Drosophila melanogaster: one gene and its partners. The gene in region 2 interacts genetically with the main gene of each other region. Each region holds a gene or a part of one and is shown on either strand. Other genes may lie near its edges. The genes, in order: elav, robo1, RhoGEF64C and kra.

The links.
Region 1: of robo1 (region 2) and elav, changing one suppresses a phenotype caused by changing the other (phenotypic suppression), as found in Drosophila melanogaster (one study listed by BioGRID).
Region 3: of robo1 (region 2) and RhoGEF64C, changing one suppresses a phenotype caused by changing the other (phenotypic suppression), as found in Drosophila melanogaster (one study listed by BioGRID).
Region 4: of robo1 (region 2) and kra, changing one enhances a phenotype caused by changing the other (phenotypic enhancement), as found in Drosophila melanogaster (one study listed by BioGRID).

What each region holds. Positions count from the first base shown.
Region 1 is NC_004354.4:520,208-525,134, reverse strand, and holds the start of elav (embryonic lethal abnormal vision), read left to right. Parts: upstream 1-1,908; 5' UTR 1,909-2,149; intron 2,150-3,438; 5' UTR 3,439-3,694; coding exon 3,695-3,695; intron 3,696-4,849; exon of another isoform or gene 4,850-4,927. UniProt on the Drosophila melanogaster protein: Required for the proper development and maintenance of neurons presumably by affecting RNA metabolism.
Region 2 is NT_033778.4:22,697,963-22,702,772, forward strand, and holds the start of robo1 (roundabout 1), read right to left. Parts: upstream 3,009-4,810; 5' UTR 2,916-3,008; intron 2,634-2,915; exon of another isoform or gene 2,235-2,633; intron 2,073-2,234; 5' UTR 1,991-2,072; coding exon 1,840-1,990; intron 1,773-1,839; coding exon 1,651-1,772; intron 1,415-1,650; coding exon 1,234-1,414; intron 1,123-1,233; coding exon 1,004-1,122; intron 944-1,003; coding exon 490-943; intron 430-489; coding exon 1-429. Other genes in the region: CG30259 (uncharacterized protein), read right to left, coding at 3,482-3,907, 3,964-4,542; Obp59a (Odorant-binding protein 59a), read left to right, coding at 4,755-4,810.
Region 3 is NT_037436.4:4,691,072-4,695,805, forward strand, and holds the start of RhoGEF64C (Rho guanine nucleotide exchange factor at 64C), read left to right. Parts: upstream 1-1,711; 5' UTR 1,712-2,334; intron 2,335-3,133; exon of another isoform or gene 3,134-3,251; coding exon of another isoform or gene 3,252-3,668; exon of another isoform or gene 3,669-3,774; intron 3,775-4,734. Other genes in the region: CG15876 (uncharacterized protein), read right to left, coding at 3,252-3,668.
Region 4 is NT_033777.3:5,595,091-5,602,646, forward strand, and holds kra (krasavietz), read right to left. Parts: upstream 6,047-7,556; 5' UTR 5,925-6,046; intron 5,482-5,924; exon of another isoform or gene 4,948-5,481; intron 4,484-4,947; exon of another isoform or gene 4,275-4,483; 5' UTR 4,264-4,274; coding exon 4,026-4,263; intron 3,955-4,025; coding exon 3,854-3,954; intron 3,688-3,853; exon of another isoform or gene 3,548-3,687; intron 3,477-3,547; exon of another isoform or gene 3,333-3,476; intron 3,253-3,332; coding exon 3,114-3,252; intron 3,068-3,113; exon of another isoform or gene 2,925-3,067; intron 2,848-2,924; coding exon 2,682-2,847; intron 2,650-2,681; exon of another isoform or gene 2,506-2,649; intron 2,426-2,505; coding exon 2,182-2,425; intron 2,114-2,181; coding exon 1,771-2,113; intron 1,742-1,770; exon of another isoform or gene 1,607-1,741; intron 1,569-1,606; exon of another isoform or gene 1,436-1,568; intron 1,420-1,435; exon of another isoform or gene 1,270-1,419; intron 1,251-1,269; exon of another isoform or gene 1,111-1,250; intron 1,033-1,110; coding exon 995-1,032; 3' UTR 274-994; downstream 1-273. Other genes in the region: SecS (Sec synthetase), read left to right, coding at 6,466-6,579, 6,643-6,772, 6,824-7,556. UniProt on the Drosophila melanogaster protein: May be involved in memory formation.

The DNA of each region.
Region 1 (4,927 bases), on a different chromosome or scaffold from region 2:
TCGTGTTGTGCCTGCTTTTTAATCCCGCTTTGTTGTAACGCAGGCCATTTGCTGTTTTTGTTTTGTTTCTGGCGTGGCTAAAACGGATTATGTGACCCAACCCTTTCGATTTCGAGTCTCATTGTATTACATCCTTTTCCCAAAAATGACTAAAAAAGCGTATTGCCTATTTCTGGGGTGGACAGAATGAAACGGGGTCAGCACGTGGCCGCAAACTTGAAATACCATTATGGATCCAATAGGACTGTGAAGAGTTATTAGTGAAACATTTCGAACAAACTATTCCTTTAATTGAAATTTGCCAATTCCCCACTTAAGCATCGCATTTGCATATTTGTATGCTAACCAAACTCTCTGCGACGTCGATCTGTCTGAATCTGAATCCGCATATCTTTCGAGGGCAGCAATAGCGCCACCCCACCCCATTTCCGTTGCCACTAGCAGCGCACCACCCTTTGAAAGGACATCAAAAACCACCCCCTGCCCAAAGTTGCGTTACAATTCCCGAAGTGCAGTGCAGCGTACATAAAACATACAATGAAATCCGATAAAATTTTCTATGTCCTTTATATCCTCATAACATGCCCAACTATAAACCGAGCCAAATTCTTCTCGTGAAAAAGTTGCACACAACGCGATTTCACTGTACCTTACATTGTTCTGTAAACTGGAACAGAGCGTCCGACTGGAAGAGGCGAAGGAAAAAATCAGCACAGGGAACAGGAAGTTCACAAGGATTGGGGGTGTCCGAGGGTGGCTACATATATATGGCGATATATGGCATACAGTATGTGCATACATATACATACATATACACATATATGTATGTATGTACCATACTATGTGGCGTGTCTAGTGGCGCGAATAACGAATACAGGAGCAATGAAGCACACGAACGAAGCGAAACGAAACGAAGGGAAATATTGAAAAAGCCAGAATTGCATTACTTCAAAACTATACCGGCTCTTGGATATGGGTCCTGGGTCTCGGTTCCTTGCTTCTGGCTTTCGCTTCGTAGGGGGTGTACGAGCAATACTGCCAGGAGAAACCACCCTAGCCTTTGGCGTTGGTGGTTGATAGTGCAAAAATAATAATAACGGAAACGGAACCATAAACCCAAAACAGCCCTTACAACGCGACTGATTTGTAAGGATAATGGTCGCATGCATCATAAAACGGTTGACGACCTCGTCGGAAAGAGCCAACATTTTGCAATGATTTCCAATTGCTCCTGCTATCTAGGCCCAATGGGCCGCTAAGTACATATGAAGCATACATAGCTAAATACATATGAAGCATACATACATCGGGTTAACTATAAAACCAATGTGTTCTAGATGAGTTTGTTAATTTTACAAAGTAAGTTAGGGCTGCTCCAGTGGTTTTAAGTTGCTTAACTGGACAAGAGAACTTGGCTCTCTCCCCCATCTATCTCTTGTCTTCGGGAAAGGTAACCTCCATTTTGATCGGTTGAATTTGTATCAAAAAGCATGAAAAACTTTGAATACAGCATAAACCACTGAGAGAGCAGCCGAAAGCCAGGGGTGTATCAAAAGGGGTTCTTAGAAATATTCCACTTTGCAACGATTATAGACTCGTTTCTTATCAGACAAAACTTTCTCCACTTCTACGTGGTATTTACAGAAACAAAACTTAAGGTAAAATGTTAGGTGGCTATATATTAAAGCTATTAAAATATATTAAAGGTTTCCGGAATAACCCCCTATCTCGGCGCGCAGATACGCCCATGTCGCCACTCTTTCGCTCTCTACCTTCCACTCTCGCTCCGAACACCATTGCAACCCCGAGAGAGCTGCTCGAGAGGCAACTATGAGATATGAGAATGAGAGGTTGCTCTATGTGAAAATGGAAACCGAAACCGTCAATGCCTCAATTTCGCATTTCATTATTTCATTTCCACGCCAACCATCGTGCGCCGCGGTCTGAACGCTCCTGCCACAGAAAAAGAAAATAAAAGCAAGGAAAATTCTAATCGAATACCAAATATCGTGCTTGTGTGCTCTTTCCGCAATTGATTTTTTTTAAGTAGTGCATGACAATAACCGTTGAGTTGACTCCAACCGAAGTAACCATAACTGGAAGCTGACAACAGCCATTGGCCGGAATCTCATCTCACACCGAGCGAAATGTAAGAGTATCCCCAGGATATCCACAATTTGTGCAACTGAATGAAAGGCAATGATAACAATATCAATCAACAACTTTGAAACAGTACTTTTTTTTTGCTAATGATCGCGTCGCGCTGCATAATTGTGCAATTTACTCACTTATAATCCGCGTGTCTGCATATATCCATATGTACCTATATCTATTTTTTTGCTAGTGGGTGTGTGATGTGTGTAAGTTGTATACATTCAAACGAATATTAATAGGCAAAACAACAATATGCAATTCGATGGAGGAAAAAGCGAACCTCCCAAAGAGAGTGGCGGAGAGATGGGCGGCGGTTAGTCAGAGTGAGAGGGGGCGGCCAGTGCGGAGATAGTAGATGTGTTCAGATCTACGCCTCTGTGAGCTGTGTATCTGTAAATACTTGCTGCTCAAATTTAAATCTGTGTGTGTATGTGTGTGTGGGCTTGCGTGTGCGGGAGAGAAGAGCGCTGAGTGTTAGAGCGAGAGCCAGTTCCGAAGAGGGCGCAGCTAGCATATCGATTTTATGATTTCATGTGCAAGGAGCATTGTACGCAACAACAAACGGAGGAACACGACCAACTAACCGTTAGAAGTAGCCATTTTTTGAGCGCAGCGGAGAGGGTGGGCGAGTGTGTGTGGGTGGCGGAGTACTTGCAGTCAACAAAACGCCGGTTGCCATAAAAGCAAATGCACGCAGGCATGAATCAGACCCATGTCGTAGTAGCAATATTAAACATAGAGGATTCGCGATTCACAGCAAAGGAGTTTTTTCTCAAAAAACGACAACAATTAGTTTTTTTTTTCCCAGTGGTCGTCTGTGTTTATGCTTGTGTGGAAGAGAGCTCGAAATAGGTAGATATATACACGCGTATTTATTTATTATGTGTACATATGTGCTTGTAAAAACAATATCAGCCATACAAAGTTTGAGTCCCCTCCGCCCACCTCCTAACAACAACATCGATATCTAAATCGGTGCAGGTAAAGAGCGGTTGCTACAGGCCCAAATAACCTCTCTTCAGTAGAATTTTACCAACATCTCAAAGTATTCTCGCTGCGCCACATGTATGCGTATCTGCACGCAGATATATTTTTTGTATCGCCTGTGAAATATGAATTCAATGCTTTGGATGGGGTAAAATCGATAATATCGATTGGCGATAACAATCGCACGCACACACACAGGCCCGCAAACACGAACAACTAAAACTACAACAACAACCACCAAACCCATCGAATTTACCGCTTATAGTTTTGTTTTATTTTTGTTTTTGTCCACATCAGACGGCGACGCCAGCGTTTATTTATTAAAAACGATTACATTACAACAAACACCAAAGTCCTGGACAACCGAAGAGAGTGTGGGAGAAAATCGAAGCAGAGAGCAAGGAGGAGCGCCGTGAGAGCGCGCGCGCAAGGATTTGAGATTGCAAAGAGAACTTAGCAATTAGTTCGCTTTGTTTGTCCAGCCAAACAACAACAACAACCAACCAGCTCCCCAAAACCAACTACACACATACTCGCTCCCTAAACTAAAACAAGTGAGTATTGAAAGACGACGGGCCGAGCTGACGAGATCGCAGGACGAAAGAGAGAAAACTTTCGAAGGGTGCGGTGTCGTGTCAAGGCAACACAATCAAACCACTAATGCGGAATATTAAAAAAAAAAATTAATTTAAATCATAAGAGGTTAGCTATATTTGATATATATATGTGTGTATCCATGTACATATGTCTATGTTAGACAAGTAGCTCCTTCTTGCCGTATTGTAGTTCGGGTTATCGTTACCCGCCTCTAATTGGCTTGCCATGACGAAAGTGGGTGGTACAGGACGACGACGTGCGTGCGCGTGACCTTTTGACTCTTCCATAAGCGCCTCAATAAAAGGTGCGAGTCGGTACATACATATGTATGAGAATAGAGGATATTAAAAACTAAGAAAAGCATCCACCAAAGTAAAAACAGTAGCAACTAAAAACTTTTCAGTCTCAGCTAACCAGTCCAAACCAGCTATGTAGTTTTTAGCACGACTTTGGGAGTGTCGAATGCGTTAACTAAAGCTCAAATATATATCGAGACCCGCTGTAGTCCCTATATGCAAATCAAATTGCTACCATTTCCGCAGCGATCGCTTTTCGCGACAGCCCCCTCTCTCTGTCGCACTTAGTTCAGTGAACCAACACATTCGCTGGTTTCGTTCCGAGCAGCATCCTCTGTCTCTCTTGCTCAGCCTCTTCGCCGCCCCCTCTGCCTAAGCCTCTGTTTCTGCTGTCCGCACCCCTTACCAAGGTGTCATGTAAATGGCGGAGCCGGCTTAGGGGGTGGCAATGCCGTGCTTTTAACCCTTATCGGTGGCAAATGGCGCTCGTACATTTGGAGAAAATGCCGTTCTACGTTTCGTTTTGCTTCGTTTCGCCAAGCGAAGTATTACAACTTGTTTGACTAAGGGTGGGTCTACCGTCTATTGCTCATTTATGGTGTTTTGATGCTTTCTCAAGGGGTGCGGGCTGGTTTCTCGCATGTCCTGACCCTCTGGGTCATCCCTCTGTTCACCGCATTACATAACTGGGCGGGGTGCACAGCGCGACACACTCTTATGGAGAGAGCGCTGTAATTTGCGGAAAGGAGACGAGGGGGAGAAGGGACGCAAGAGCAGCTACAGCGCGCAGCAGTGCCAGAAAGTCCTGCGCTCGCCCCAGAAGCATCCTGTTCCTGTGACGCAGCGGATCTGGTCTCGCGTTCGCTCCACTACCTCCACTTCCTACACCTACA
Region 2 (4,810 bases):
GTACGGCATGTCCATCGTGGAACCACTTAATACGGGGACTGGGATTTCCGGTGGCCCGACAGGGTAAAGTAGCAACTGATCCCTTGGGCAGTGTTTGATTGGCAGGTCCGATTTGAATAATCGGAGGTGGACGCTCGTCTAACGAGCTGACTTGCAGGAAAACCCGTACTGTAGAGGAATCGACTACACTGAAAGCGGAACACACATAGTAGCCTTCGTCTTCCTGCCGCACATCCGTAATCTGCAGAGTTCCATCGGCAGCCACATGCTGCCTCCCGTGCGAACTATTTGGGAACATGAGAGTGGATACTCCTTCCTTGGTCCAGAAAACAGATGGCGGTGGGTTTCCGGAGGCCATGCAAGGTAGTTGGACAACACCATTTAGTCCCACTTTCTTGTTACTGGGTCTTTTCGTAAAGTTCGGCGGAGCTTTAATGAAAACAATTGAAGATTAAAACGCGATTCTTTGGTAATGGAACTTAATCTTACCATGGACTATAAGAGAAGCCCTAGCGCTGATCTGACCGACATTGTTGTGTGCCTCGCAGACATAGGTGCCCTCATCGGTGGGCGTTATGTTGGATATCTCTAAACTTTTCTCGTCGTGAAGGATTCGCGCTCTGGACACCGGAATATTGCCCTCCTCCTTTTTCCACAACACTTTCGGCGGCGGATCACCGCCCACTGAGCAGTGGAAAGTGGCTGTCTGGCCGTAGAGCATCACCTGATCCTTGGGCTCCTTCATAAAGTATGGTTTGACCTGGACAATCAGCTTGGCATAGCTGCTCTCGCGGGTGCCTACCAGATTCTGGGCAATGCACTTGTAGTTGCCCTCATCAATGGGCTCCACATTGCTGATCAGCAGGTTGCCACCGTCCACAATTCGAACGCGGGAGCTGGCGCCAAACGACATGGCTTTCAGGTCGTCCAAGGGAACGCCGTCCTAAGAGCACAAAAAGCGGTTTAGACAACTGACTTTCGCAGTCTGGTTTTCGGAACCCACCTTTATCCAAATCAGCGTTGGCTCTGGAATGCCTTTGGGCGGCCCACACTCCAGCAGAGCCGTCTCGCCTTTGGCCACTCGCGTGTCTTTGGGCTCCACGCGAAAATCGTCGCGCAAAACTAGCGAAGAAAAATTGCAAAAATATCAAAAAAGCACATTATAATCGGAGACAAAGCTGGGCGTGTGGGCAGACAAGTTGGAGAGCAGACTAGAGTGGCGGACTAACTTACCAGCTATCTGGAGCGAGGCATGGCGACTAACGGCCTGGCCCACTCGGTTCTTGGCCACGCACCAGTACTCTCCGCCGTCCTGTTCCTTCTTGCCCTGCATTGTCCTGTAGAAGAAGAGGGCGCCGTCCTTGAACTGGACGCGGTGCGATTTCTTTTCGTTGGTGCTGACGGGTTCGCCATCCTGAGAGCGGAAAGAAGAGGGGGTGATTGAGTTACGATTTGGTTCGGTTTCGAAGGCTACACGGAAAAAAACAACTACTCAAAACCACTTATATTTTGTATAATTTTTGAATTCATTTTTGTTTTGATATTTAAAGATAAATAAATATACAATATTGATATGAAAACATTAAGATCAAGTTTTCTTTTGCCAGTGTAATGGTGATTCAAGTTAGAAAAGTATTATTTGGTGGGTACCTTAAACCACTCAATGGTGGGTTCCGGCTTGCCCTCCACTTTGCAGTTGAGCGTGGCGGGTTCATTCTTCTTAACGACCAGATCCGTGGGATGCTCGATGATACGTGGCGATTGGTACTGGCCTGAAAGGAGTAGGAAGGATGTGGATTAGCCACTGGGCCTGGGGAGGATTACCCAGGATGGGTTTACCTCTGACTGCTGGCAGGCCATTGCTGGCCACCAGGACGAGGAGCAGCCAGGCGGGCAGGAGCCACATCCTGCTGCTCCGACTGCGAGATGGGTTATTAGTGGTGCTCGTGCTCCGGGCGATGGCGTGGTTTTCGGGATGCATGGGATGCATTTTATGGTGTTGGTGCTGTTGCAATGACGACTCTACAGATGACCCAATGCAGCGGCGATCATTTTGGCGTTGTTTTTGGGTCCTGCGATGCATGATAGGTGATAGTATGTGGGTTAACTAAATGTGGGCAGCTGTTACATATGTAGGCGTGGCGGCATTATGGCTAGGCATTTATGGGCTTTACTTGCTTTTTGCTTTTTATCTGTCCAAAAACTCGAAATTATTTCTCGCCTGCTCCACTTACGCTTGCATTTCCATGCGATAAGCACACACACACGCACACACTCACGCACACTTGGACACTCACACACCCACACACATGTGTCTATGCTGGTTTTCCATTAATTTTATTTCCGTATTTATCTGCCTTTGTGTTTATCGCTCAGTCTCAGTCGCACCGACCCGAAAATTTACAATCCAAATTCTGATTCGGAGTTTTGATTTCACGTTCTCACACTTTCTTTCTAACGCTTTTTTTGTATCGTTCGCTGATTTGGTTTTTATTTTCCTTTTTATTTTTTGGATTTTATTAATCAGCCGCGCAGTGTAAGTTTTTGTTGGTATTTATTCGACGATTGCTCGCTTTTCGGGGTTGTTTTCTCCATCATCTCTCCTCGCGCACATTTTCCACATTTCCCGAACGAAATTTCTTTTTGGTAAAATTACAAGAACAAGAACTGCCCCGCCACCCCTCTCACTCGCACACACTGCCGTTCTAGCTGCCTCTCGCTCGCACCGCCTGCCGTTCCTGGGACTTCCCCCCGTTGTTGTTGTATCTATATCTATAACAGAGTGTTGTATCTATAACTCCTTGTAATATTTGCTTTACATCCGCAGCAGCTGCACTTTGTAATATCCGAAAACGAGTATCTACTTCAAATGGAAGCTTCGCGGTTGGATCGTACTTTCTTGGGTGCAAACTTACTCCAATTTAACTGTTGGAAATTAACTATTTTCCTGCTCTTTAGTGCGATTCACGGCGCAGCGAAAACTCACAATTGGACGTGGGTCGTGTCTGTGGAAATTTGAGAGCGCAACGCCCGGAATCGATATATCGATATATTTTGGGGTGTACCGAAAAGGAATACTCGAAAATACCAGAGGACATATTTATCAGTTGATCTGGTAGCGCCGCGTAAAGTAACTATTTGAATCTTTAATTGATTTCTATTGTATTGAAATTGAAATCGAAAGATATACCAACTATGTTTTAAGATATTAATAAAATGTAAATATTTAAATTAATGTATGTATTGTGATGTTGAATGGTTTATTAAAAAATTCCGTTTTATTCAGAATATCTATATAATTTGTGTGTGATTGCTTAAATACGTATATATTAATATTCATGTTCACGGTAGAACCAACTGTAAAATACTATAAAAATATATAGATAATTGTTATGGTAGAGAATAGTTCCTACACCAATTTAAGGTGTTTTGTTTAATATAGTTTCCCTGCATTAATCAAATAACTACAGAGTCTAGCAAATTATTCCATTCTGGCCAGGTTCATCTTTCCCCTAGCCAAAGTCCTCGAAAGAACCACGTTGGAGAGGTTGGCTTCGAAGGCAGGCGCTCGGCTGCGTCCTGGATGCAAGTGGAAAGTGGGAGGTGTGGGCGCCGCTGGGCGACGACCAGTCGGCTGGGCACTCTTCACCAGCTTGGGCTGGAGCTGCAGGCGCGACACTCTGTCCACGGACATGCTCTTGGGCCGCCGGGCTAGATAGCTATGGACGTGGCTATTGGAGCCATTGGCAATGTTCAAATTTACCAGGTAGTCCTGCAGCTGCGTCTTTAGCTGGCTGTTCTCCGCCTCCAGGCGACGCTTCTGTTGCTTCAGGCAGGCCACGTCCACGGCCACGTTGTTGACGCGTCGCCAGAAGGACTCCATTTGGGGTACCACTGCCACCTCGTCCTGGTACGTTAAACCAATGTTGAATGAAGAAATTACCTACTGGCATTTTTACTCACCTTAAGAAGATCAGTGGCTGGGTCAGTCAAGGAACCATTACCCTGATCCTCTATATCTCGAATCTCGATAATCTCCTTGGATATTTCCGGCAACTGGAACATCCGCTCCCGCTGGGTTTCCATCTTGGCACAGACCGCAGACAACTGTGCCAGAGTCTCGCCCTTGGCCACAGTTTCCTGGAGGAATTCCAAGGCATGGTAGCTCTCCACGGACATCAGCTTGAACAACTGGTGATCCCTGGCCACCTCCTGTTCCACACAGGTGCGTAGCTCCCTTAGTCGCTCGGTCAACTGCTGTTTGATGGCTTGCCGCTGCTCCAGTTGGCCCTGTTGCTTGATGTAGAACTCCTCGGAGACCAGACGCAAATTGGTCAGCTGGTCTACCAGGTGCTCGATTTCGTGGGTCTGCTGGCTAATCTGGAGGGCTGCCTCCTCATCCCGCTGCTTCAGATCCACGTACTCCGAGTAAAAGCCTTCGATGTGCTGACAGTAGCCCGCCAGAACACCCTGATACTCCTGCCACAGCTTCTCCAATCGAGCTTCACCTCTGGAGGTGATCTGCTCCAGCTGTAGTTGCATCTGGAAGTGGGGTTCAATTTAACATGTTTTCATAAACTTTTAAAATAACCTTTATTGTAAAATATAATCATCGAAGAGCATTGCACGCAATTGTAAAATTAAGATTGATATGTGTCTTGGTTCATTGTGCGTCAGTCACTCTGTAATTTGGATGCCATTCTCCAGAACTATAAATGATGTGGGCATAGCTGCTCCTCCATTCAGTTCCCAAGATGAAACAGTTGATTTTCCTGCTGATTTGTTTGAGCTGCGGCACCTGCTCCATTTA
Region 3 (4,734 bases), on a different chromosome or scaffold from region 2:
TTGATTGTTGCAATCACTCTTAGTACTCGAATATCAATAGTGTTATCGAGGAACATTTGGCAAATTAAGATAAACATACTCAGAATTCCCTAAAACTTGAGGCGTACTTGTGCTAACTTGGCTAACGATGCAAATGTTGTTATCAAGCAGTTTACAACATAAATACTCTAATTATTTATGTGCATAAGTAAAAGTGGGGCAACAGTCTGCAGCAAATGCAACAGCAACAATAACAATGGCACAATGCAATCAAACAATCAGAGACAAGCTCGCTGAACTGAAATGCCAATTGTGAAAATTGTAAATAAATATTTTAACAGACGACGGCAACAACAAGAAGTCGGGAAACTACAATAAATCAGATCATATCGGCGGCCAACTGCTGCGGTTTCAGTTGTGGTAAATATATATATATAGACATATATAGCTATATATGGCAGATCCAGCAGCAGAGCAGCCCTACAAGCGTGGAAGGCATGGGGCAGGAAAAACTGTGAAAAGCTGAAAGAAAAATCGCAAAAAGCAAACGACACAGCGACAACGATGACAATGCTGATAATGGCCCAAGGAGAAGGTGCGGAGGAGCGGCAGCATTATGGTATCCAAAAGAATAGCCTGGAAACCTCAGAAATTTACGCTCAAGCGAAGCGAGCTGAACCAAACTAAGTTGAGGTGAAGCTGTTGCTAAAAGGAAAATGACAATAACAGCTGCAGTTCCAGCGCCCTGTGTGAGAGCCCAGTAATGACAAAAAACTAACTAGCACACTGAAAAAAATGGATAACTTAGCCATAAAGTTCTCGGACATAAAAAATTATTGGGAGCTGGTTGATGAATAAGTACATTTTATTATCTGTGCATATTGATTTACAGCCTTTTCCAATATACGAAAAAACAAACAACAATGTATTTGTGATTTTGTGAAATATGTTTATTATTATTTTGTTTATTATATAAATTAGAAATTATACAGTTTTCTTAATCTTTATGTATTAAAAATGATTGCCTTAATTATCACTTAGGCTCACGTTAAAATATTCTATCAGTGTAAAAAAAAGCGAGGCATTAAGTACCGAACCGTTAAGAAGTCATTCGAAGTTGGATAGACCAAAAAAAGCTGAGGCGTCTCTAAGCCGCCCTGCGAGTGAGCGAGACCGCAGTAGGTGGTAATTTCTGGAGTAAACAGAGCGAATTCAGAGCTAAGTCCGAAAACAAAACTTCGAGTGAGAGCAGTGAGAGCTGCAATCGTAATTGCGCTGGGCTAGAGAGTAAAAGTCTTTGAGCAAACGAGAGCGTCGAGTAGCGAAAGTTAAAGCCGAATCGTAGAGCAGAGATCAAAAGATCTGTCAGATCTAAATAACAGAAAGAACATCCGAAAACCCAAATCTTTCGGGGAAGTGTGTCATCAAAAAATCGATAATAAAATAATTTTGTGCTTTTCTTACTCTCTCGTTTCCTCATAAGTTCAATGCACAATGAAAAAACAGTTATTTTTGGACAATAAATCAACGGCAACAACAGACTAAAGATTCTAAGCACAAATAAAAAAAAACAACGGCCAGAGTCGAAAGACTCAGGCAACGAACTGCGATCATCGGAGATGAAAATAGAGAGAGAGAGAGAGAGCGCGCGCGATCTGCTTCGTTTTTGCTTTTCGAACTCAGAGCGGCGGACTTTTCGAACTCCAAGCTGTCCGGCAGCTGAAACTTTTGGTCATTCGTCAGTTAACCGTCGTGCAGCTCGAAACGCGACGCGATCTGTTGGATATATGCAATCCAACGGTGATATATAAACACGATTCTTCTTCGCCGAAGAACGAACGTTTTGTGTGTGTTTGTGCAGGTGTTAGTGCGCGGTGTGCGTGTTACCATTTGCATTTTGGCTTTTTAGCTTTTAACTCGCTTTTTTCGTTCCATTTCGCCGCGTTGCATTTGCTCGGCGATTGCATTTCTCGGTTTCTTCGCTTTTGGATCGGCTTTCGTTATTTTTGGTTGAGGCCTTAAAATAGCCTTTGCCGTAATTACTGGGCTGGCCGCAAGAAAACGTGTTTGTGTCTAAACTACAGTTACAACCAGAGCAGCCGTCGCAGCTGCATTTCACTCGAATGTGCTTGCCGAAAAGTAGAAAATATAATAAATAAGAAAGAAAGAAGAGAGTGCTCGCTATATAGAAGGAAAAACGTCACTCGGTGTATACGTTCTTCTTCTATTTGTTCGCCTGTTAACATTGTGCTCATAATTTATTGTACCCAGCGATATGCAAATAGAAAGCAACAAATTTGTACAGCAAGTGGAATATTTCAACGTTTAATTTGGGCCCCGAAGAAACCCAAAAAGGTAAGGCAAATGCATTCTAATAAACGAGAAAATAATATAATGCCAACAAACTATAGATATTATCCCCCCCAATGAGCATAAAGCTAATGAGGTAAATTGTGAAAACATCTGAACTGCTTAGAACTTGATTTGGTTAATATATTCATTAGTATACATTTCTCCCGCTGACGATTTGCATATCAGTTGTCTTCGGTCGCAGGTTCATAACTTCTGCTTCTGTTTTGGCTGGCTAAGAAAGCTTCGGTTAGATCATCGCATCTCACGTTTTTCACCGCCGAATAGATCGATATTCCTGCCTCACTGCGAACCCCTAAATAACACTTGCTGCACGATTGAACTTTAAACCGCATTCTTGGCCCGTCTGCTGCCTGGTTTTCTGTTTTTCTTGGCTCTCTCGGTCGGACGCATCTATCACAGATCGGTGAGTGGTGGCCAATTTTCAATGGATCGATGCTGCCTCGCTCCGTGGGAACTCTTGACTCTTGAGCCCCAGAGTTCGGGCCTGGCATTTTGCGGCACACATTTTAGCCCTGGCTAGCTAGCAAAAACAGAGCCAAAAACAGGCTTACAGAACAGGAATTTCCACTCCTACAACAAATCCGCGGACAATTGACATTTTTGTGTAATTGCCACATTTGTTGTTGTAATTTTGGTTTTTTTTTTCGAATTTTCGCAGATTATTGCCTTTTAATAGTGAATTCGTCGGGCTTAGTTCAAATTTAGCAATTTACATATTTAAATGCATTGTTAATAGCCATTGGAAAACATATTAAGTAAATAATAAAACATTTGGCATTTTGCTTTTATATATTTATTTATTGAATAATTTTCTTAAGAAATCTTCATGTTCAATGATTTTTAATCGTCAACAATTAAGGAAACTAGTAAATTTAAAATTGCAATAGATTAAGTTAAACTTAAACGAAGATCTCCGGTCCGAAGATGTCCATCTTGGAGAACTCTCCTGTGGAGGATCGAGGTTTCGGTGGAGTGCATGGCGCCTTGACACTCACAACGGGGGCGGATGTGTTGGCACTAGCATCGACTTTGTTGACGGAGGAGGAGCGTTTGCGTCGCATGTTCTTGAGCTGATCGCGCAGCTGCTCCTTGTAGACGAGCTCCCTCTTGCAGGCCCTCAGATCCTCCATGCTGCAGTGCTTCATGTGGCGGATGGTGCGGGACACCAGTCCATCGATTATGTGAATCTTGGTGCGGGACAGCCGCGTGGGTTCCGCATGACGGCGGGTCAGCTCGCTCTGGTACTGAAAAAGTAGATAGCCCACGCTCGGACGAGCTCCGCGTCGGTGGTTGGCGTTGTTACGTTGGGCTTCCATTTCAGATAGAATAGCTCCTTTGTTGTTTTTTTTTGTATAGACTTCAAAATGCTGGCTGCGACAGGACAAGCTGTGACTGCTTGGCAGCTTGAGCTGTGAATGATGTCCCTACGTGGTTTACCAGGATTATTTATATCTGGGGCGCTTAGCTACCTGTTGACCCGCCGACTGACCTGCTGACTTGTACGAGTCGCGTAATTACCTGAAGTGCTCCGGTAAAACCAGAGATCCTTCCTCCCTTTTTTGATCCCTTGCCAAGTTGACATCTCAGGCCAAAGATACTGTACATCTTCCTTGCACACATGTGGGTAGTGCTCACCTTGCGCGGCATTTGCTGGGGTGGAAATGGTTTATGGCTTGACCTTTTGCTTTAAGATATTTCAGTTGAGCTGGCGCTGAATAAATATGGGGATAAGGAAAAGATTAAAACGGTGACTAAGTGTCTGAGGATTGCGTTCAAATCGTTTTAAGCTTAGATTAGATAACTGGTGGAAAAGTTATCAATGAAATAAATAAAATTTAAGGTAGCAGAAATGCAGCTGAATGAAATTTAAGTAAAAACCCACAAAAATATTTAAAATTAAAATATTTATGTTAAAGTGGTTATGAAGTTTAAAGATATTTTCATATGTTGTTTCATTAACAATTAAATGAAATATATCATTTTGATTTTTTAATTCATTTACGAATAATAAATTGTAAAAAATTAATTTACTCTATGAAATGTAATAACTTTTCTGAAGTCACATGCTTGTTTTTATTGCTTAAGGATTACGCTCAAATTGTACGAAAGTTTGCCTTTTAAGTCCAATCCCACTGCAACTAAATAAATTCCCTCTCAACTCTCGGCAAATGAAAATCATTTATATTTAATGAGTTGCCATGAAGTGATAAATATAATCCCAAAGTGGCACTCGTCTACTCTTACTCCTGTTTTTTTTTTGTGCCCGACAACCAACCCACTTGTGAAGGACTGCGTGTTAAATATTTATTTATGAACGAATGTCTGCGACCTTGTCTTAACCCCCTTGGTCATAAAAGCGATTTACTGTGGGCTGGTTAGATG
Region 4 (7,556 bases), on a different chromosome or scaffold from region 2:
AAACTTGTAATATTTGTCACAAATGAATGACGACTAGATTTGGCCATGTCTGTAACAATAAACGTACAAAATATTCGAAGTTGCAGAAATGGGGATCCAGCATTCGGATTTGGTTTTTTGTCAAACTTTTAAATATAGAATCGGACCACATCTTTTTAAGACCTTAAAAAACTGATTTGAAGTTAGACCCCTCATAATGCCAACTAAATTTGTTAAACAAAAATATGCCCCTATATGCCAATCAAATTTAAATACAATGCTTTCTCAGCGTTTCAGTTAAATACTTTGGGTTGTTTAATGGTTTTATACGTATACATGTGCTAAGTCCATGTATCTTATATTTCGTAAATCCATAGATTTTGTTCGACGAAACTTTGCTAAATGATATTGATCTTTCAAATATAACTTGTTAATTTCCTTTCATCGCCGTGGCAAATCCTTCGAGAGTGAGTACTACTTGTTAAACGCATATATGAGGAAAATTTATTGATGAATAATGCGAACATGCAAACGGAACACATCCCCGAATTCACACAAAGCATCTCTGTGGTATCTCTTTTGGTTTTTTATTTGTTGCATCAACTCCGCGGAACTCCAGCTACCTCACTGCAGGTCGTAGTAGTCGACGTTATTGGCGGTCAGATGTTCTCTATTAATTTGGAGCGTGCTGCTGTTTCCACTTCAAACTTTTATTAACATATATAGTATGGGTTTGCCGGTATATTGCAAACGGGAACTAAGTGTAGATTCGTGAATGATATCAGACTGGACTGCAAACGTTTAGTTTCTAGCATGTTTTTTTTACTCTCTCCTTTATTTGTTGGAATTTTTGAGTTTTATATAGGTGGAGTTTTCAAAATGACATTAATTCATAGGGGTGAGTTTTATATATAGTTCGACTGGCTGTTGCAGGTGCTGGTTTCGAATTTTTGGATGGGGATGCTAAAGGGCGGCTCCGTTTGTGTTCATCCTCATTTAGCCATCAACCAAGTTCTTACTCGCCATTCTTTTGTTCGTCCTCAGATTCGGATTCTGAAAGAGAATAGAATACAAAATGTTAGTATGGGGGCTTCAATTGGTACAAACTGAAAAGATGTGCAGCTCCGGTTATGCTGTCCAAATGATTATTGGCCAAATTTAACTATGGAAAGTTATCTGGACACCCAACCATTCAAATGCTTTGGCACAACTCCCCGCTTGGCTCAATCGAATGAAGCAACCATTCGGAGCTTTTATGAGGGGATTGTGCATGCGGACTAGGACAAATGCAGCTGTCCAAACGATTATTGGCCAAATTAACCACGGCATTGGGTTATATGGGCACCCAATCATTCTTTCGCTTTTGCATACTGTACATGAACCCTTTAAAACTGGTTCCTAATAATGGGAACACTTTAAAAGCTTGGTAAGAAGCATGCTCGGTGAAGTCAGCTATTTGTGTCCAAGTTTTCATTGGCCTTTGATGCTCGGATTTTGTGAGGCAACAAGGCAAGCAAAAACTCAAATGCTCTTGCAATTTTGTACAATGAAAATGTCATCCAGGACAAGACCATTCTCAAAAAGTGCACTGTGTAAAGTTTCGAAGGAAGCAAAATTTGAATATTTATATTGTCCAGGTTTTCATTGGCCTACGTTGTTCAGTGAATGGAAATCAACGAGGCAAGCAAAAAACCCAAATTTCTCTTGCAATTACGTACCAGAATCAAGCTATTTAAGACAAGACCATTCTCAAAAATTGCACGCTGATAACATTTATCAAAACATACTAACCTTCTTCGGCTGACTGAAGCCATTCGACAAACTTTCGCATTTGTTCAAGGAAATGCATTTTGCCCTTGTTTGAGTGGCCCTCCTTGTACCAGCGCAAGATGATCTCCTCGGACAGGACCTCGGTCTTGTAGAACAACAAAATGATTTTCTGGAAGGCCTTCATGAAGTTCATGTTCTCGTAGCAGAATTCCTGCACCTTCAAGATTAGGGCCAATTCCGAACGGTCGGTCGAGGCGAAAGCCTGCAACAGTGGGCAGTAGTTCTTCAGATGACGAACAGCCTGATCGGTAACCAGCTCCTCCTTCTTGTTCCATTCGCCCAATGACATGATGGTGGACCAAATCTGGTAAAGATCATACATGAGATTTAGTAAGGAAATCATCCAGTTGGATTATTTACGCATCGACTTACAATAACAATTATTTCATGATCGGGAATGTTGGTGCGCTGCGAGAAGTCCTTAATGTCTGAGGTTATCTCATTATATGGCTTCTCATCGTTGATATCATCGATGAGCGCCTGCTGCAACTCACGCTTCGCCTCCTGGCTAGCCTGAGCCTTATGTAGCTTGACGATCTCGTTAAGTTCTTTGTCAAGAAAAACTTGTTTAAAATATTCCTCAGTACGTTTGTTCGGTGGGAAAAAGTCCATAAGTCTGGAAAAACGTGAAAAAGTGGAACCATTATTAATAATTTAAGTTAACGCATTCAATAATCAACCTTAAATGACGTATTGAGGTGTACGAAATTAAATCAGCACCCAAATGAAGCGAAAGGTCATTTGCGAATTGGGTAAAACTCCGTCGAACTTTCTTACTCTAGGAATATCAATTAAAGATGCACAACTGGATCATTGAGTCATCTTCCTGAGAACATTCCGGGGCTAAAAACAAATCACAACTAAAAACTTACTTGCTTTCCAGTCCACCCTTCTTAAGCGCCTGAATCAGATATGCAATGCCCTTCTCTTGCTTGAACGTCTGGAACAGCTCTAGTAGAAACTCCAATGCAATGCCATCCTTGATTAGGTGCTCGTTGTTTAGTACCAGTAAAACATTTGGCGGTACAGAACCGTTGACTGTTGATCAAAAATAGGGTTAAATATAGGGTTAGTCAAATGTTTTCGCAAAACAAGTTTAGACGGCCGGCTAGCAATCCTGTCCTTGGGCTCGTGGCCCTTAGATGTGGTTAGTTCATCCAAGAGTCAGTATACCAAGTGAAGGATTACTTTAGCCCCTCAGCTGCAAGTTGAACAAGTGTTTATCGAAACAACTAATTGAAAGACCGAATGGGCAGACGCAAGCAATGCACAGGAGGAACAGGAACATAAATGTTAAGACTTACCTAACCAGAGCGCTGTCATACGCGCAAGCTTGATGCGTTCACTAGGAGTAAAGCCCTTTACGAATAATAGAACCTTTCCCATCTCCTCTTCGAACATTTTCTCAAGGTACTTGTACCGTCTGATGAGCTTGACAAATACCTGGAAAAGGTAAAGTGTGATTGCCCCTGTTAGCGGATGGTGAAATTTTACTGTGTTCTCACGCAGGAGGCTTTTGTATTTGTTGTTGCAACATTAGAAATCTTTAGATTGCTGGCGGTAGTAATTTTACAAAATAAAGACAAGTAAAATGTGGCTTTTTATTTTGCATATTTTGACACCGATTGAGTTGTTGAGATGCATAACCGGTTCTAATAATATGCACTTTGATTCAATAGCGTGACCTTCGCAGTGGTTGCATGCATATAGTATATATATATAGTGTTGAATAAAGAGTAGTTGTTGACACATAAGAAATCTTCAGAACGTTAGTGTTTAGGACAAACCAAAGACAAGTAAATGTGTTGATTGTTATTGCATATTCTTGACACCGATTACATTTTTGAAACTTTATAGTCAGCTCTAATGATATGCAGCCACTTCACGAATTTCATACTTTTAAGTGGATCCGAAGAAAATCATTTAGTAGTAAATAAACGTTTTAGCTTGGAAAACAACAAGAGCTCAACTTGTGTTGCAATCAAACCAATTTTCGTTTACTCATAATCATAATTTAAGTATGACCTGCTAAAAGATTACAAACCTGCTCATGGTTGCGCATGCTCTCCATGCTCTCGGGCGCATCGAAGATGCAGTAGCTTGTGCGCGGCTTTTCGCCATCCTGAGATATAGAACCACCAGGCACTGCAATTGAAACGAGGATGGAAAAGGGTCAGTGAAGAGACTAAACACATTACTTGCAGCGGAAAACTTACCTAGTAGACCTCCTGCAATCAATATGTCAAAGAGAACTTCACCGTAGCGACGATAGTCGAGCTTGTTGCCCGCGCTGTCTAGATATTTAGAGATTTGTTCCAGGTCGCCTTCAGTTTTTTCGAGACCAGCAATGACCGCATCACGGAATCCCGTTGGGTCATATTTTTCTCTTTCATCTCTTTTTCTGGTCTTGATGCGTTGACCCGATAGCACTGGTCTTTCAGTTTTTTGACTCATACAATAAATTGCTGCAAAGGTAAATGTGGATCAGAGATGGAAGCGGTTTTGGTTTGCCCCTGTAAGTTTTTATTTCTGACCAGACTAAATTATCATGGCCACTAGATTCATTTTTAGATTTATCTTAATTTTAGTGTAAGATGACTAAGGTGGTCTCCAAGCGGTGGAAAACCGTTCCCTGTATATGTATTCTCGTTGCGCTCATAATCAAACTACAACATTTTCACCTATGACCGGCGTTTAAGTGGAAACTCTAGTGAAAACTGAGCCTAAGAAAGCCTTAACCTAAAAATGCCAGCGTACATGTGCTTTAAACACACACATTCAAGAGCGGAGAACGGGCACACTTCACATCTCTTTTTAATTATCTCTCTTTTTCACACACACATACCCACTGTGCATTTTACAGTTTGATAATGTCGACAAAAGAAATAAAAAGAATTGAGAGGTGAGGCGACCAAGAAATCGACATAGAAACGCAGAATAAAGTGAAATTTTGACGTGGTTACTTGTGTTAGGTAGCGCGCTGGGGAAATGAGGTCATTGTGCATGTAGTGCACATAAAAACGCGCCGATGACTGTGTGCTAGTTGGCCGGGAAAATTGTCATAGCAGCGAAAACGCAAAAATTAAATTATCTAGGCTATCAAGTACACATTGGTACATATAAGGAACGGCAACTTACGCTTTCACCCAAGGATATTAAGTCTGGCCCTGTGTTTGCCGCTTCCGCGTGTCCTTGCAATCAATTGAAATCAGTCGTGTGCGAGTGTAGTGTGTATGTGTGTGTGTGTGTGCCTGTTGCTTTTTCACAACTAACGAACGTGCGAGAATATGTAATTTAATTTAACCTCACGAAGCGCTGGCTGGTTAATGCTTCTCACTCGAGTCGACGAAAAACAAAGAGACAGATGGCAGATCCCTTCTTTTCTTACCTCTCTTTTCTTATGAGCGAGCTTTTGCACGGTAAAATTGACACGCACGCACACACACAACAACAAAGAAAAGGGGAGAGCAAATAGAAAATATAATTTTTTGTAACGGAATTTACTTTTATGCCTTCAAAATAAACGTTAACAATTTTGCTCAGACTACGTCCGGAATTCTATTTTTAACAGCTATCACAATCGGTTACTAGGTATATGTGTTGTTTGCCTCGAATCCAGCGCCCCTCTGCTCGCACCACTTTGTTAAACGAAATTCGGAGAGCGAATGAGACGACACACGAGCGCACGAACGAAGCGGACGAGCCGAGAACGAAGACATGTGGTTCGGCGCCATTTTGAAGCGATACACTGACATGGCGAAAGCGGAATGATGGGCACAGGGAAAACGAAAATTAGGGGGAAACGGTGAGAAAAAATGTGGGATGGGGGTTCAAAGTGTGTATATTGCTGTCGCGCTTATTAAATAATGAGCAAGGTACAGTCGAACAAAGGCCGACGGCCACCAAATGATTTTTTGCATGAATATATGACTGCCCGATGACTAATCTGGCCTTAGGTACGCACGCAGTTCGTACATAACCCCTTTTCCAACGAAAGCGCAGACAAAGGATTGGTCAAGGCCAGAGAAATGACCAGGACCGCGATTTTACTCGCCCTATTTGTCTTTCTGTGTACTTAGGTCTACTCTAGCGCTATTTTTCACTCCTATACTTACGATTAAAACAAAAAAATCTGTTTTGCTGCGAATAAAAGTAACTTTTTGCGTAGCTGTTGGGCTGCTTCTTCTGGATGACTTGCGGTATGACCGTGGCCTGCTTCGTACGCAATGGTACAGAGCTCACTAAGGTGTCCAAAAGGTGGCAACATTTTGGTGAAGCTGTTGGCTGGCCCCACTAACCGGACCTGAAAATGGTGCAGCGCTGCCGGACATTTAACGGAATCAAAGATTCCACAAAAGTCATGTTTGCATTAACAAAATTCATATTTAACCTTAACAAATTCAACAAATTAAGTTAAGTCCATTTTAGTAGCGTTGCGAGGAGTTTATTTTCGAAAATACGCCTTTGTATATATTATATATTTTTCCTCCACTTTAAACAAAATCGAAAGGTGTCCATTTGTCAGCTATTTAAACAATATGGCATCGCCGCCTTACTTGCTCAGTAAGAAAATTTAACTGTTTTTTTTTTGCGCACCTGAAAGCGGCGATAGACATTGTTTACTTTTAGTTTATATTTACATTATCCAAAAGCCAAATGAACTTTGAGCAGGTCAATATACCAGAGAAACTAGTGCCGGACAACTATTTGCAACTGGGACTGGCTGCGCAACGCAGTAAGCAGCGCAGTTTTAAGGAGCTGCTCGAAAAGGTAATCAAACCGAAATTAAACCCAAATTAATTGATAACTCCATGGATAATTCTTCTTTTCAAGCGAAAGCTTCCGAAAAATGGTTGGTCCGATGAACGTATCGAGGAGCTGGTGCACATGCTGGCTTCCTTGGACAGCAATAACTATCCACATAAGGTCGGTTTAGGAGAGCGGGAGGCGCGTATAGCCTGCAGTAAGTAAGGGATCAGGAGGCGATATCCCCCGTAATGAATTTGTCATTCAGAACTCGTGGCTCGCCGTCACTACAACTTCGGTCATGGTATCGGCAGATCTGGAGACTTACTAGAGGCACAACCCAAGGCAGCTGGCTCTACGCTGCTCGCTCGTCTCACAAACGCCCTGATTCTGGACCTTATTCGGGGAATCGGACTGCCCAGCTGTGCTGGCTGCTTTTTGGTGCCAATGTGTACAGGCATGACATTGACTTTGTGCCTGCAGAGTCTTCGCAAGCGGCGACCCGGGGCGCGGTATGTGCTCTGGTCCCGCATCGATCAGAAGTCCTGCTTCAAGGCCATCACAGCAACGGGCTTGGTGCCGGTAGTCATCCCCTGCCTTATTAAAGGAGAGTCCCTGAACACGAACGTAGATTTATTCCGAGAAAAGATAAAGTCATTGGGAGTGGATAGCATCCTCTGCCTGTACACTACCACCAGTTGTTTTGCTCCACGAAACAGCGATGACATTGCCGAAGTATCCAAGTTGTCCAAACAATGGCAGATTCCCCATCTGGTCAATAATGCCTATGGATTGCAGGCAAAGGAAATCGTTAATCAGTTGGAGTGCGCCAATCGAGTCGGACGCATTGATTACTTCGTTCAGAGCAGCGACAAGAATTTGCTGGTGCCAGTGGGTAGTGCCATTGTGGCCAGCTTCAATGAGAGTGTGCTCCACGATGTGGCCAGTACTTATGCTGGGAGAGCTAGTGGTTCCCAGTCACTAGATGTCTTGATGACGCT